Notamacropus eugenii: one gene and its partner. The protein of the gene in region 2 interacts with the protein of the main gene of each other region in a pairwise test. Links are inferred from orthologs where the notes say so. Each region holds a gene or a part of one and is shown on either strand. Other genes may lie near its edges.

What was found.
Region 1: the proteins of FAM168A (region 2) and OTUB2 interact in binary tests that used the Homo sapiens proteins (3 or more experiments, as listed by UniProt). The two-hybrid records come from large-scale screens. The link is inferred for Notamacropus eugenii from reciprocal best matches to the Homo sapiens genes FAM168A and OTUB2.

The regions. Positions count from the first base shown.
Region 1 is NC_092878.1:35,625,286-35,632,754, reverse strand, and holds the start of OTUB2 (ubiquitin thioesterase OTUB2), read left to right. Parts: upstream 1-4,456; 5' UTR 4,457-4,644; coding exon 4,645-4,647; intron 4,648-7,469. UniProt on the Homo sapiens protein: Hydrolase that can remove conjugated ubiquitin from proteins in vitro and may therefore play an important regulatory role at the level of protein turnover by preventing degradation.
Region 2 is NC_092876.1:131,754,933-131,761,928, forward strand, and holds the start of FAM168A (protein FAM168A), read left to right. Parts: upstream 1-3,976; 5' UTR 3,977-4,017; coding exon 4,018-4,074; intron 4,075-6,996.

The DNA of each region.
Region 1 (7,469 bases), on a different chromosome or scaffold from region 2:
AAAGGCTATTCAAGAAATGCAAGACTATTCTGTCCCCACTAGAAAACATAGGAGAGAATGGAATTATGGAGCTCAGTATGCCACCCATGGTGTCCTATCCAGCAAATCTGAACTTAACCATACAAGAAAAAGATGAACAGTCTATAACCAAAAGGCATTTGAAACATTTTTGTAAAGAAAGCAGAACTGAAAAAATTATTTGTTTCTCAAATACTTCAAACAATAAAAATTCAGTAGGAAAGAAGGCAAGACAAACTAAACTCATTACTAATCTGTATAGTTGTGTAAAATAAATTCCACATTAACTATGTCCAAAAAAGAAAAGGAAGAAAGAAAGAAAGAGAGAGAGAGAGAGAGAGAGAGAGAGAGAGAGAGAGAGAGAGAGAGAGAGAGAGAGAGAGAGAGAGAGAAACCAAAACAACATGCTTTGATCTGCACTTTGAATCAATCACTTCACTATCTTGAGGTGGATAATATGGTAAAATGTTCCATAATGAATCCTTTGGAATTGTGGTTTTTATGTTGATGAGAGCTCCTAAGTTTTTCAGAGTTGATAGCTGTTATAATATTTTTGTTACTATAGAAAACATTCTCCTGATTCTCCTCACTTTGCTCTACATCAGTTCATGCAAGTATTCCTTGTTTTTTTTAAATCACCTTCTTCCTCATTTTTTACAACTCAGTAGTATTCTATCACATTTTTATATCCTCAACTTGATAGATATTCTCCAATTGATGGGCATACCCTTAGTTTCCAATCCTTTGTTACCACAAAAAGAGCTGCTATCAGTGTTTTTGTAAATATGGGTCTTTTCCTTGATTTCTTTGGGGTATAGAATTTCTTCAGTTCTCCTTTCTTTACCAAAATGTTTCAAATGCCTTTTGATTATTGACCTTCCATCTTTTTCTTGTTAAGCTCAGATTGGCTGGATAGGACACCATGGGTGGCATACTGAGATCCAGGGCCCTTTGGAACACATAATCTATGTGTTCTCAGTGGTATCACTGAGTCAAAGGGTATATACAGTTTGTAAATTTTGGGGCCCAGTTCCAAATTGTTCTTGAGAATGGCTGGACCACTTCACACATCCACTAATATTGCATTAAGGTACTTGTTTTCCCACGTCCCCTCCAGCATTTGTCATTTTGCTCTTTTGTCATCTTAGTTAATCTGATGGATGTGAGGTGGTACCTTAGAGCTGCTTTAATTTGCATTTCTCAGTTAGTGTTTTATGGCATTTTTTCATAGGCTATTTATAGCTTTGATTTCTTCATCTGAAAACTACTTATTCATATTCTCTATTTATCAGTTGAAGAATGGCTATTATTTTTATAAATTTGATTCAGTTTCCTATATATCTTAGAAATGAAAGTTTTATCAGAGAAACTTAGTGCAAATGTTTTCCTGCTTATTTTGTCATTTTAACTGCATTGGTTTTGTTTGTGCAAGTTTTTTTTAATTGTATGTAATCACAATCACACATTTTACTGCCTGTGAACCTCTCTATCTCATATGTGATCATGAACTTTTCCCAACAGATATGAGATAATTTCTTCCATGCTCTTCTAATTGTTGTCATGATGCCACCCTTTAAGTCTAAATCATGTACCTATTTAGAGTTTATCTTAGTATATGGTATGAGATATTGATCTACACCTAGTTTCTGCCAGATTGTTTCCCAGGTTTCAGGCTTTGTCAAATAGTGTATTCTTGCCCCGTTAGGTGGAATCTTTGAGTTTATCAACACTAGGTAACTGTATTCATTTGATCCTGTATACTGTATACCTAGTCTAGCCCACTAATTAACCTCTCTATTTTTTATCCATTACCAAGTTGTTTTGACAATTATGACTTTGTAGTATAGTTTGAGATCAGATACTACTAGGTCTCCCTCCTTCCCATTTTTTTCATTGATTCCCTTGATATTCCTGACCTTTTGTTCTTCCAGATGAATTTTATTATTTTTTCTAGCTCTATAAAATCACCCTTGGATAGTTTGATGGATATGGCACTAAGTAAATTAATTTAGGCAGTATTGTCATTTTTATTATATTGTCTCAGCCTACCCATAAACAATATTTCTCCAATTACTAATATTATGCCTTTGTGTAAAGAGTGTTTTGTGATTGTGTTCATAATATCATGTGGGTATCTTGGCAGGTAGACTTCCAGATAACATATATCGTCTATAGTTATTTTAAATGGAATTTCTCTTTCTATCTCTTCCTGATGGATTTTGGTGGTAATATATAGAAATGCAGATTATTTATGTAGGTTTATTTTATATCCTACAACTTTGCTTAAGTTGTTAATTCAATTAGTTTTCTAATTAAGTCCCTTCCTTTCTTCCAGGTGTAACTCTTTTATACCTGCTTCATGATATCTCCTCCATATGTGATGGTAATCTCTAGCCCATCTAATTTCTCATAGCCTTACTAGTCCTCTCTTTTGCATCAATCACCTCCTCCCTTACATTTTGACCTATATGTCCTTGCCCTTCTCCCCATTAAATTACAAGACACCTGAAAGCAAGACCTGTATCATTTCATCTGTATTTTTATAACCCATAGCACCTCTGAGACACAAGGAATTGTATACTAAAGAATAAAGTTGTGCTGGAGGAATAGAATCATTTGGCATTTCACAATTTATGGACTGAAGGAAAGTTAAATATTAGAGGGACAACATTGGGTTTTTTTGTTCTCTAATTGGAGGGGAAACAGCACAAAAAGTGGGAGTGAGTGAGTGAGGAGGCTCTGGATGAGATATTTCAAACTGAGATGCCACACTGCAGTGGGAACAATCTCTTTTGCAACTCTGCTTAAGGTTGAGGATGTGAGTCAAGAGGCTGTTGGAGAGAAAGATAGAAAAGGAGAGAAACTAGGAATGGCATATTGGTGGTTAGCTGGAAGGAGTTGTATTCCAAGTCTTATTGAATATATCAACATCAACAGAATGGTAGTACTAAAGAGACAGATCTTTGCTTTCATGGGAAGCTTAGATTCAGTAGCACAGATTTGCAATTTCCCATAAGCAATCAAGGTTTTTGCTCTCTTTCTCCCATTCAGCTCTGGACACAATTCATTGCCCATCTTTACCGTACCAGACTCACATGCTGTTGGATAAGCTCTTTAGTGAGTTCAACCAAATGCAGGTTGAAATTTGGGCACTAGACTTTATTTATACACTTGATCTTTCCTATGTGGATGAATACGAAAAACTACTTTGAGCGATTATAGATTTCTTTCAATTCTTCTGCAATATTTAAAAGTTTGGTTCAACTGGCACAATGCCATCCACAAACCTAGAGGATCTCAACATCCAAGGCGAATTCCTCTTCAATGTGAACTCTGTGCTGAATCTATCTCATCACAATTGTTAACACCTTCCATGATCACAGATCTTTATTTTTCACCTGTTGCTTATTACCACAGGGTCATTGAATAGGGTTATTTCTATTTCATCTTTGTCATTTACATTTGTTACAAAGCATGGCTGTTTGGGGAGCAAGGGAAAGATATATTTGGGAAGGTGATGTAAAAACAAAAAATATAATCAATAAAAAAAAGTTTTTAAGAGATGAAAACAGCAGTTCTTTTTTGTTGTAGTCATTGCGCATAAGCAGTGACCTGTTCATACATTCATACTTTCCACTATTCCAAAAAACGGAAATCATACTGCAAATGGAAAGGACAATGAACTAGGAGTCCAGAAACCCAAGTTCAAGTATTAGCACTCTCAGTACACATACATAAATAAATGTCTGTGGACGTTCTATGGTGTCCTGATTCAAGACTCAAGAGGACCTGGGTTTGTTGCTAATACCGCTTTATGAACATAGACAAGTCACTTAACATTTCCGAATTTCCGTTTCCCAATCTGTAAAATGGGGGAAATACTACCTGTAGCACTATTCAATTTCACATGAATAATATATGTGTTGGAAACCTTGTGCAAACCTTGACAGACTGTACTAATGACCCCTCTTATTATGGAATGAATGCAGATTAATACCATTCCACGGGACAGGAAGAAAAGCTATTATTATGAATAACATGAAGCTAGATGCTAGCTAGACAATGAGCCAAGTACTGTGTAGGCAAGCCAAGTTCCTGGTCCTCTGACCTTGGGTAAACAATTTTTATGTAAACCTGTTGTTTACTGAGAAATTCATATGATAAGGAAGTCTTAAAGAATGGAATCTAAAATAGACTGCAGAAACATCATTTTACATTTTATTTTTCAAAACACACAAGTTCATTCAGCCTTTCAAAATGGGACCAGTCCTTTGAGGTTTAACTCTTGTAGTTGAGGTTTCTGTCTTTTTAAAAGAGGGTGGCGTTCAGTTACTGGAGGCCTACACATAGGCTAAAGCCAACTGAAATCCCGCCCTCTTTCTGTGACGTCCACGCTTCGCGGCTTCTGATTGCAGCCTTTAGGCGTCAAGCCCAGGGTGTGTATCTTACTGGGACACAGTGAAGATCTCACCTCTTGTTTGGTGAGCGGTCGGGTATTTTGCTCTACACTCCGCACCCCTCGGGGGCCCCCGACCGATCTGAGCTGGAGATATCGTTCTGTGGCGCCCTCCCGCGCCGGATCTCCTTCTCCCTGGGGCGGGACGATTTCCAGAGGCTCCGGTCACTATGGTCAGTGCAATGGGTGGGAGTGGAGGGGATATGGGGTTCCCAAGCCCGGGGCGCATGTGCACGCTCGGGAAAGGGGGCGAGACCTAATAGAGGGGGTGGAGAGGGGACTGCAGAACTCCTGGTCCTCCTTCGCCCCTACCCCCAAGCCCTTCTGGTTTGAGATCCCTTTTGGCTCCTAGGGCCTTCCTTCCCATCCCCCATATCCCACCCACCCATAACCCTATCCCTGGGACCCAGGAGGGGCAGTCCAGGGGACCCAGACCGTGCCCGGTCCGGGCTCCGGCGCTAGGGGCTGGATGGGGGTGCCGGGTAGCGAGTGTGAGGGGGAAGGTGTCTGGGGCGGTGTGGGGGGGGTGGTGGTGGAGAGGCCAGGAAACCCCACATCCCGTAGCACGCCAGCTCCCCCAAGTGCCCCGCCCCCTCTTCCCCTCCTCCCCCCAGGAAATTTGGCCGACCCCGTGAGAGCCTTTTTGGGGCAAAAACCCTCCATCTGGAGTCATGGCCACCACCCCCGTATGACCTTGGGCAAGTCATTTGGCCCCCCAGCCTCAGTTTCCTCGGCTGTAAAAAACCAGAGGGGCTTGAACTAGTAGAACTCTCCGGATCCAAATCCAGTCCTATGAATGAATCCATTCATTAAGCACATAGCAAGCGCCTACTGTGTGCCAGGCATAAGCTCTAAATCCTACGAAATACCCTCAAGCCAGACCTCCCACCCAGCTGGGTCTGACGTGATGCCTTTTCTATTTCGTGTTCAGGCACCTTCCCCACCCGTTCTTTGGGGGCAAGAACAAGACGCCAGCCCCTTCCTCCTTCCCATCGAGAGACAAGTTCCAGGGTTTGGTGCGTTGGAGCCAGAGAGGGGGTGGAGGGGCTGGGGAAGGGTTTACCCCTGTCCTGGAGCCGGCCTTTCTTTATCTGTGCTGAGCCCCGCTCTTCTCCCCACCCCTCCTCCGAGGGGGCTGCGGCTGCGGCTGCGAAGGGACTGGATTTCCCTGGTGGGGCTCACATTTCCAGGGTCAATAATAAGCAGAGGTGTGAGTATAAGAGGTACCTCTGAGACGCCAGAGCAAGCTTGGGGGGGAGGGGTGAGCAGGGAAAATGAAGAGACTAAAGGTGGGGGGGATGGTTCACTCTCTTTACCCTACCCCTCTTAGTTTCTAAAATGGAACTAAGAAAAGAGCACCCACTTTGAATCACAAGAACCAAGTTCATGACTGGTGGTTACTATATTACTGTAGGACTTTGAGCAAGTCACTTTACCCATAGGAAAATCTCTAAAAGAGGGAGGCCTGGGTTTTTCTTCCAACTCTAAATCCTAACCTCTGAGTGGGTCAGCCCATGAGATCACCTTCAGCCTAGCCCTGAGGAATGTAGGGGGGTCAGGGGGCACAGTTCAAGCTGCAGTACATTCCAAGCCCTGCCCCAGCGTGGATCTGACTAATCGCGTGCCCGAAGAGGCAGTCACCTAAGCTGTTAGCTGTGGGACAGAGAGGGCTGGTGGCACTGCCTGGGGGTGAACTACTCAGTCAGGTCCTAACCAGGGCTTGCAGTATTTGTCTGAGGAGTTTTCAAGGAGACTTGGTGGGTGCTTATCTTCAACGGGATTAAACACATTCCTTTGCTCACAGAGATACTGAGCATTTAGGGTGCTAGGGGCACTCAAAAGGGTGCCCTTTGAGTACCCATTCACCTGAATGGAAAACCGGAAAAAATAAGCCAGGTGGTTAAGATGTGTGTGAAGGCACCAGGTTATTTTAACCGCTAGCACCATCTAGTGTTTCTCTGAACTGTGGACTCAATGATAGGGACTAGAATAGGAATTTCATTGGTGTAGGGAACCTCAGTTTGATTCTACTAGAGTCTAAATGACTTGCCCAGGGTCACACAGCTACTATAAATCAAAATGGGGATTTCCATCCCAGGTCTTCCTAGTTTCCCTTTCCAGGCAACCTCTCCTAATGTTAGCATCTGAAAAAGGCCATCTGATCTAGTCTCCAGCAGCCCCCTTTTTAGCATCCCACGTCATTGCCTCTGACTGAGACTCTTTGCGGGTAATTAGAAAGGACAAAGGGAAGGAAGAGTAGAGGTTAGCAAGAAATACAGGAAAAGGACTTGCTTAAGAAGCAGCATAAACAAACATTAGAGGGGATGGGAAGTAACAGACAGATACCTGAAGAAAGCAAGCTCAGATCAGAAGGAGGCAAGGCTCCAGATAATCATAGAATTTTAGAACTGAGAAGAAAGCTAGAGGCCATCTGTTCCAACCTTTTCATTTGGTGGATAAGGAAATGAGACCTTGAGTGACTTGCCTAAGGTCATATAGCTCTTGAGAAGCAGAGTTTGAACTGGGTCCTTTGGATCTCCAAAGCCAGTGTTCTTAAGCCATACTACTATACAAATGGCTAGTATCCCTGAGTAAATGGCACACCATCAAGTGGGGATCTCCTGTATTTACTCGTCTTCAGTTGAACAATTAATTTTCTAGTATGTGTGGAGCTCTGTAGGAGGTGATTGATGAAATAAGTTTAGTTAAGAGAAAGTCTGTGTCTTTATGGAATTTAACTGTAGAGTGGAAAGCAGTCAGTCTCAGTCACAAATAAAGAAAACACAAAATAAGTAGATCAGAGAAGTGCTAAGACCTATTTGAAGTCCAAGGTATTCTCACTGATATGGGATGAAGGGGACTTTCTGGAAAAGGTGGTATGTGTTGTTGTTCATCTTTCATTCTCAAAGAGGACCAGTGACATCAGGAGGGTGATAGCATTCTTAATTTGCAAGTGAGTTGGATTTAAGTGAGGCAGGGGAGTGCAAAGTCTCAC
Region 2 (6,996 bases):
AGCTCAGCCTATGCCCTCTGTCCATTTGTGTGTGTATATATATGTATATATGTGTGTGCATATATGTATACATATATACACACAAACACACATACACATATATGTATATATGCATATATACACACGCACACATACACCCGTGTGTGTGTATATATATATACTTGCACATGTGTGTATACATACCCATACCCATACATACATATATTCCCATACACATCTACATATATATCTATATACATACATACATATACATACATATATATTCCCTCCAATGACTCTAAAACTGAAAAAGGTCTCATGAGTTACAAATAACATCTTTCCATGTAGGAAAGTAAAAACTTCAGCTTTATTGAGTTCCTTAAGGCTTCTCTTTCCTTTTTACCTTTTCATGTTTCTCTTGATTCTTGTATTTGAAAATCAAATTTTCTATTCTTGTATTTGAAAGTCAAATTTTCTATTCAGCTTTTGTCTTTTCAACAAGAATGCTTGGAAGTCCTCTATTTCGTTGAAATTTCATTTTTTCCCCTGAAGTATTACACTCAGTTTTGCTGGTAGGTGATTCTTGGCTTTACTCCTATCTCCTTTGACCTCTGGAATATCATATTCCAAGCCCTTCGATCCCTTAGTTTAGAAGCTGCTAAATCCTGTGTTATCCTGATTGTATTCCCACAATACTTGAATTGTTTCTTTCTGGTTCCTTGCAATATTTTCTCCTTGACTTGGGAACTCTGGAATTTGGCTACAATATTACTAGGAGTTTTCCTTTGGGATCTCTTTCAAGAGGTGATCAGTGAATTCTTTCCATTTCTATTTTATCCTCTGGTTCTAGACTATCAGGGCAGTTTTCCTTGATAATTTCTTGGAAGATGATGTCAAGGCTCTTTTTTTTATCATAGTTTTCAGGTAGACCAATAATTTTTAAATTATCTCTCCTGTATCTATTTTCCAGGTCAGTTGTTTTTCCAATGAGGTATTTCACATTGTCTTTTATCTTTTCATTCTTTTGGTTTTGTTTTATAGTTTCTTGGTTTCTCATAAAGTCATTAGCTTCCATCTGCTCCATTCTAATTTGTAAAGAACTATTTTCTTCAGTGAGCTTTTGAACCTCCTTTTCCATTTAGCCAGTTCTGCTTTTTAAAGCATTCTTCTCCTCATTGGCTTTTTGGACCTCTTTTTCCATTTGGATTAATCTATTTTTTAAAGGTGTTATTTTCTTCAGCATTTTTTTGGGTCTCCTTTAGATATCACCTAGTTCCACAACCTTCATTTTACAAAGGAAAAAACTGAAGCTGAGAAAGAGAAAAGAGGTTTCCAAAGCCACCTAGCAAGTCAGTGTGATTTTCTAGCATCACTTTCATTTCTCTTCCCAATTTTTCCTCCACCTCACTTACTTGATTTTCAAAATCCTTTTTGAGCTCTTCCATGGCCTGAGACCATTGTATTTTTTGGAGGTTTTGGATGTAGAAGCCTAGAATTTTATATCTTCCTTTGATGGAATGCTTTGCTCTTCCTCATCTGAAAGGATGGAATAAAATACCTTTTCCCCAAGAAAGTAACCTTCTATAGTCTTATTTTTTCCTCCTTTTCTTGGACATTTTCCCAGTCAGTTACTTGACTTTTGAGTCCTTTGTCAAGTGGAGGGTATACTACCCTAGGCTTCAGAAGTTTTGTGCAGCTGTTCTCTGAGATATCTCTAGGAACCTGTAAGTTCTCAGTTCCTCTAAGGCCCCACCAGAGTTTTTAAAAATGAAAACCAAAGCCCATAGGAAATGGGTTCATACTCATTCATTGGTTTCCTTCAATTCTAGCAGACAATATATAGATTCCTGATACCAGTCTGATTCCCTTCCTTGATCTATAGACTGAAACCCAATTTTGACTCCAACCTAAATAGTAGCCCCAATCCTATATTAAGCTTTGATCTCAGCCTTGAACCCTGACCTCATCAACAAACTGAACTCTAACTTCAGAGGAAGACTTTATACCAAAGATAGACTGAGCTGTGACCTCCAACTGAATCCTGACCCTAGTCCTAGACTTTGCTCTGAAAACCAGACCCACTTTGAATTGAGAATCCAGACTAAATCCAGACACAAGACTAAAATTTTCAATATGGTTCCCTGAGTCCTGACCCCAGCCTTAGATCAAATCATCTTTTTTAAAATCAAGTCTAGACTGACATCTGACTCTATGTGCCTTTCTCTTATCCATGCCCTTCACTTCAAGTTTTCTCTCTCTCCTCAATTTTTTTAGAGCATTCGTCCTAGATCTCTCCTTTTCCTATATCACATTGTAGGTTTCTAACCTGTGAACTCACTGGATTCCCTGCTACCACTCCCCTCACACCATCCCTTCCCAACCAGAATGAAAACTCCTTAGAAGGCATAAACTATTGTTTTTCATTTTTATGTCCCCAGGACCAAAGATAGTGTCCTCTTGCCCTTAGTAGGCATTTAACAAATATTTAGGTAATCCAAATTTAATGACTATCCCTGGTTCTATGTTCTCCACTGTCTTCCAAAACTCATGGTGGCTCCCTAGTTGGGGACTTGACTTTTGTTGGAAGAGAAGTTGGGTGAACAGGGCAGGGTGGCACTTTCTGGAGTCCTGAGTTCAAGTGCCAGCCACATAGACTTGCTAAGTGGCTTTGGAAACCTCTTTTCTCTTTCTCAGCTTCAGTTTTTTCCTTTGTAAAATGAAGGTTATGGAAGGAGGTGATAGCTAACACACACACACACACACATCACGCACAGCTGAGAGGATCAAGGGGCAGGAAGCCAAACTGGTTATTACTAAATCCTTCATTTAATATCTGTTCATTGACAGAACCTCAGAAGAAACTTTGACTCAGATATGTTATGTTGTCACATGTCTATGTTCATGGCCCAAGTTAATAGATAGAATCTGAGCCTCAGGTCTTTTAAAGTCGAGTGCTTTCCACTATAGTGCACCATACTACCTCCTTTAAATACTGCAAAGATTTTCATTCCATATTTATAGATGTGAATAGCTCTGGGACAGGGACTGCCAAGGCAGCATGGTGCCATGGGGAGAGAGCTAGATCTGGAGTCAGGAGACATTGGGCCAAGTCAGGTCAAATCCACAAGCACTTAATAAGCATCTATTATATTCAGGGATCTGTTCTAAGCACTGGGGTTATAAAGAAGGGCAAAAAATAAAACACCAAATCCCACCCCCACCCAAACTAACTAGTCTTTCAAGGGGATAAAATGGGGGGAGGATGGGAGACAACATGCAAACAACTGTAAACAAACAAGATATATTCATAGAGGATAAATTGGAAATAAATCCTAGTTCTGACACCTAAGATATAGAAGGGACCATAAGCTTCAATGTGACCAGCCTTCTCATTTTACTTACCAGCTGTGTGATCCTGAGCAAGTCATTTGACCTCCTTTTGCTTCAGTTTCTTCTTCTTCAAAATAAGGATAATGTTGCTTGGGTTGTTGTAAGGAAAAATTGTTTGTAAACTCCTGAGCACCATAGAAATGCTAGCTATTATTATGCGTGCTATATTTTAGGAATGATATTGACACTGAGAATCTGGAGCCTGTTTCAGTCAAATTACCAAGGATGGTGGACCATGTCACAGGGTGATCAGATAGGAATGTTTAACCTAGAAAAGAGAGGCTAAGGGAGGAGGTGATTTGTGTCTTCACATATTCAGAGAACTGTCCCATAAAAGAATGATGTGACTTGTTTTGCATAACCACAAGAGGCAGAGATAAAAGAAATGAAATCCCAGAGAACCAGAACTCCCCAACAATAAGTGTTCTTTCAAGATGGAATGGATTTGCTCTAGAAGGACTAAACTTCCTGTTATTGGAGGTGTTCAAGGGGAACCTGGGTGACCACTTGTTACCAACACTGCCGAGAGAATTCAGAGCATCATGTAGGGGTTGCCTGGTATCCCTTCCAGTTCTGAGATTCTAGGATTCTGTAATTCTTCTCATTCTATAATTGTGCAGCAGGGACAATTCTCTCCCTTCCCAGTCTATGGAGAGGGACTGGTACCTCACCCTCCATTCTAGCAATTTTGAGAAACAGCCCAAGGTAATTTGAATAATACTTCTGTCTAGTGACCCTGGGGGAAGTAGGGAGGGTGGAGAGATAATGAGGGAGAAATGAAGGTTTCACTCCCAATCTCTGAACTCAGTAGAAAATGTTGATTTAAGTTGGAGACAACTGTTGCTGTCCTTCATATTGGAAGGGGAACAAAATAACATTATGGGGGGGAGGAGAAGGGGGGTCGTCAATGTACATTGTGTCTAACTGTGACTGATCAGACCAATATGAGCTCAGAAGGTTCTATCACAAGTTGGGCACAAGTAGTCCATATGAACATTTGGGATAAGAGATGTATCTAAATCTGCACATCTCATGTTTCTTTTGAGCTACTGAAATCCTGCTTTTGCTCATAGAACACAGCATCTTTTTTTTTAATGTGGTACCAAATTCAGGGAGAGAGAAGAGGTGAATGGTAATGAGTCACTACAGTGAGTTAAAGACAGATTTGCTAGTTTAGGTGAAAGAAGAAAAGGTTCCTATAATCTCTGAAAGACTTCTCAGAATTGAAACCATGGACTATGATGACAAAGTATAAAAGAAAATCTATTAAAGGGGACTGGCATATATTCAGATTCCCTTTGATGATACTCTTTCTTTTTTTAATTGTATTTTATTTTTTCCAATTACATGTAAAGAAAATTTTAAACATTCACTTTTGTAAGATTTTGAGTTTCAAACCTTTTTCTTTCTTCCTCCCTTCTTCCTTTCTCTCCTCCCCAAGATGGCATGCAATCTGAAATAGGTTATACATGTACAATCATATTAAACATATTTTCATGTTAGTCATGTGAAAGAAAGAACAAAAGGGAAAACCAAGAGAAAGACAAAGCAACAAGAACAAAAAAGGTGAAAATAGTCTGATTTGGTCTGCCTTCAGACTCCACAGCCCTTTCTCTAAATTTGGTTAGTATTTCCCATGGTAATACTCTTTCAATCAATCAATTAGCTTTATTAAGCACCTACTATGTGCCAGACACTGTGATAAGAGCTGCCCCTAGAGAGCTTACAATCTAATGGAAGAGGTTGGGGATAGTTTTGATGATGTATAATGAAATTGCTTTAAAGAGACTTTGGAGTAAATGTAGACATTCTGTAATTGGTTCTGCTTTGCTAACCATGTTGTTAGGAGAAGACTTTTCAATTAGCTACATGACCAGAATTGGGGATATCTCAAAGGACATCTGAACAGAGTCTCAGACATTTTCCTGGGCCCTTCTCACCTAGTTCTCCTGGTTTGACTTCTTTGCTAATCGCATCTGGTGAGACACAATGCTGTAAGGAGACAGACCTTGGTCCTTCTCCACTGAGATCAGTATGTGACCACATGAATGGGCCTTGTGTCTTCCTTTTCCATTTTAGTTGAAAGGACTGGAGACTCTGACCTGGTGAGGTTCAAAAGGTCAAAAGAGCAGTAGAGAAGATACCTCTGACCTCTCAGGGTACTCTTAGAATCCTGAGAAAGGAAGTATAACAACCTGACTCTGGGATAGTAAACCAGAGCACACTTGCTACAAAGGCTTCAGAAAAATGAAGGTGAGTACTTCTAACCAAGATGGATGCTTGAATGAAGATGGGCAGCTCAGCTTCCATATACCTACTCTAGCAAAATACTAAAAATTAACATGAACTAATGATGAAATAATGATCAAGAAATTCAATGAGAAACTACTTCATTCATCTCAGAATGGCACAAGTCTGTCAGAAGTCTACCCAACAGGAAAGGTGGCATACCAGAAAGTCAGCACCAATGCAGGCAAACATCTCCTAATGTGACCAGAAATATCTGTAGCCCAAAAGGCTATGTATCAAGAGGCAGGGGGAGCAGGGGGCTTCCATGAAAAAGTTCTGAGGTTGGATCCATAGCTTGGATCTTAGGAGCCAGAAGTATCAGTGAATAGTATGGGCATGGCAGATCTCAGGTAACATCCTTGGCCCAAAGGCTTTGAAATCCCTAGCACTCTGTCCTAAGATACCATAAAGAACCCTAAAAATTCAGTATTCTGAATCTCAAAAATCCAAGGAGGTCTAAAACCTACCAATGCTCTTAATGTAGACATACCCTGGGAGGTTAAGATCGGCACAGAAACCCAGGTCAATACCAAACAGGGCTGACCGCTCTATCCAAAAGGACATCAAAAGACAAAGACTCATCTTGGCACAGCAACTAATGATGCAAATATGAGTAAACAGAAGACATCAGGCACTATAAAGAATTATTATAAGGGGCTCAGCACCTTCCAGCTCCAGTGGTGGTTAGTTTTGCTGTATTTTGTGCAACTGTCTCCCTCCATTCTATATGATGTAGAAGCATTCTCCAGCAAGGCTATCCTAAAGGTGCTGAAGAATGGAATACCTGATCCTATGGCTTTTGGTTTCTGGAATCATCTTTAGTAGGGATCTAGGCAATGTAATTGCCTTAAAGCCAGATGCTGCCTGCTCACACAGCTTAGAGAAAGAGGGCTTTGTTGCCTCCCTGGCTCCAGTGCCTGTGGTCCCTGCCTTTTGTTCAATATGATCTCAATTGCTATATTCTCAAAGGAAAATTACTTAGAACCCTGTTGTCCCTGGGGCAGGAACCCAAAAGCCTGTCTCCTTGGGGTATGTATATGCCTATGCATCTAGCCTCTTGCTCATCTAGGACTGTGGAGATATGATCTCTGGATCATCCATATCCACGCAATGACATTCTTGTTCCCATGATGATTGTGATTGGTACAATGGCTGGGCTTTCCTCACTAGTTATGGATATAGTCTGCTGGTGTGGTTTATAAAAGGAAATCTGAGAAGGCAAGAAAAACTGAACCCATTAAAATATGTATAGTCATGCAAAACAAATTCCTTTATTAGTCATATCTCCCTTACCCCCTGCCCCCACTAAAAAAAGGAGGAAGGAAAAAAGGAAGGAAG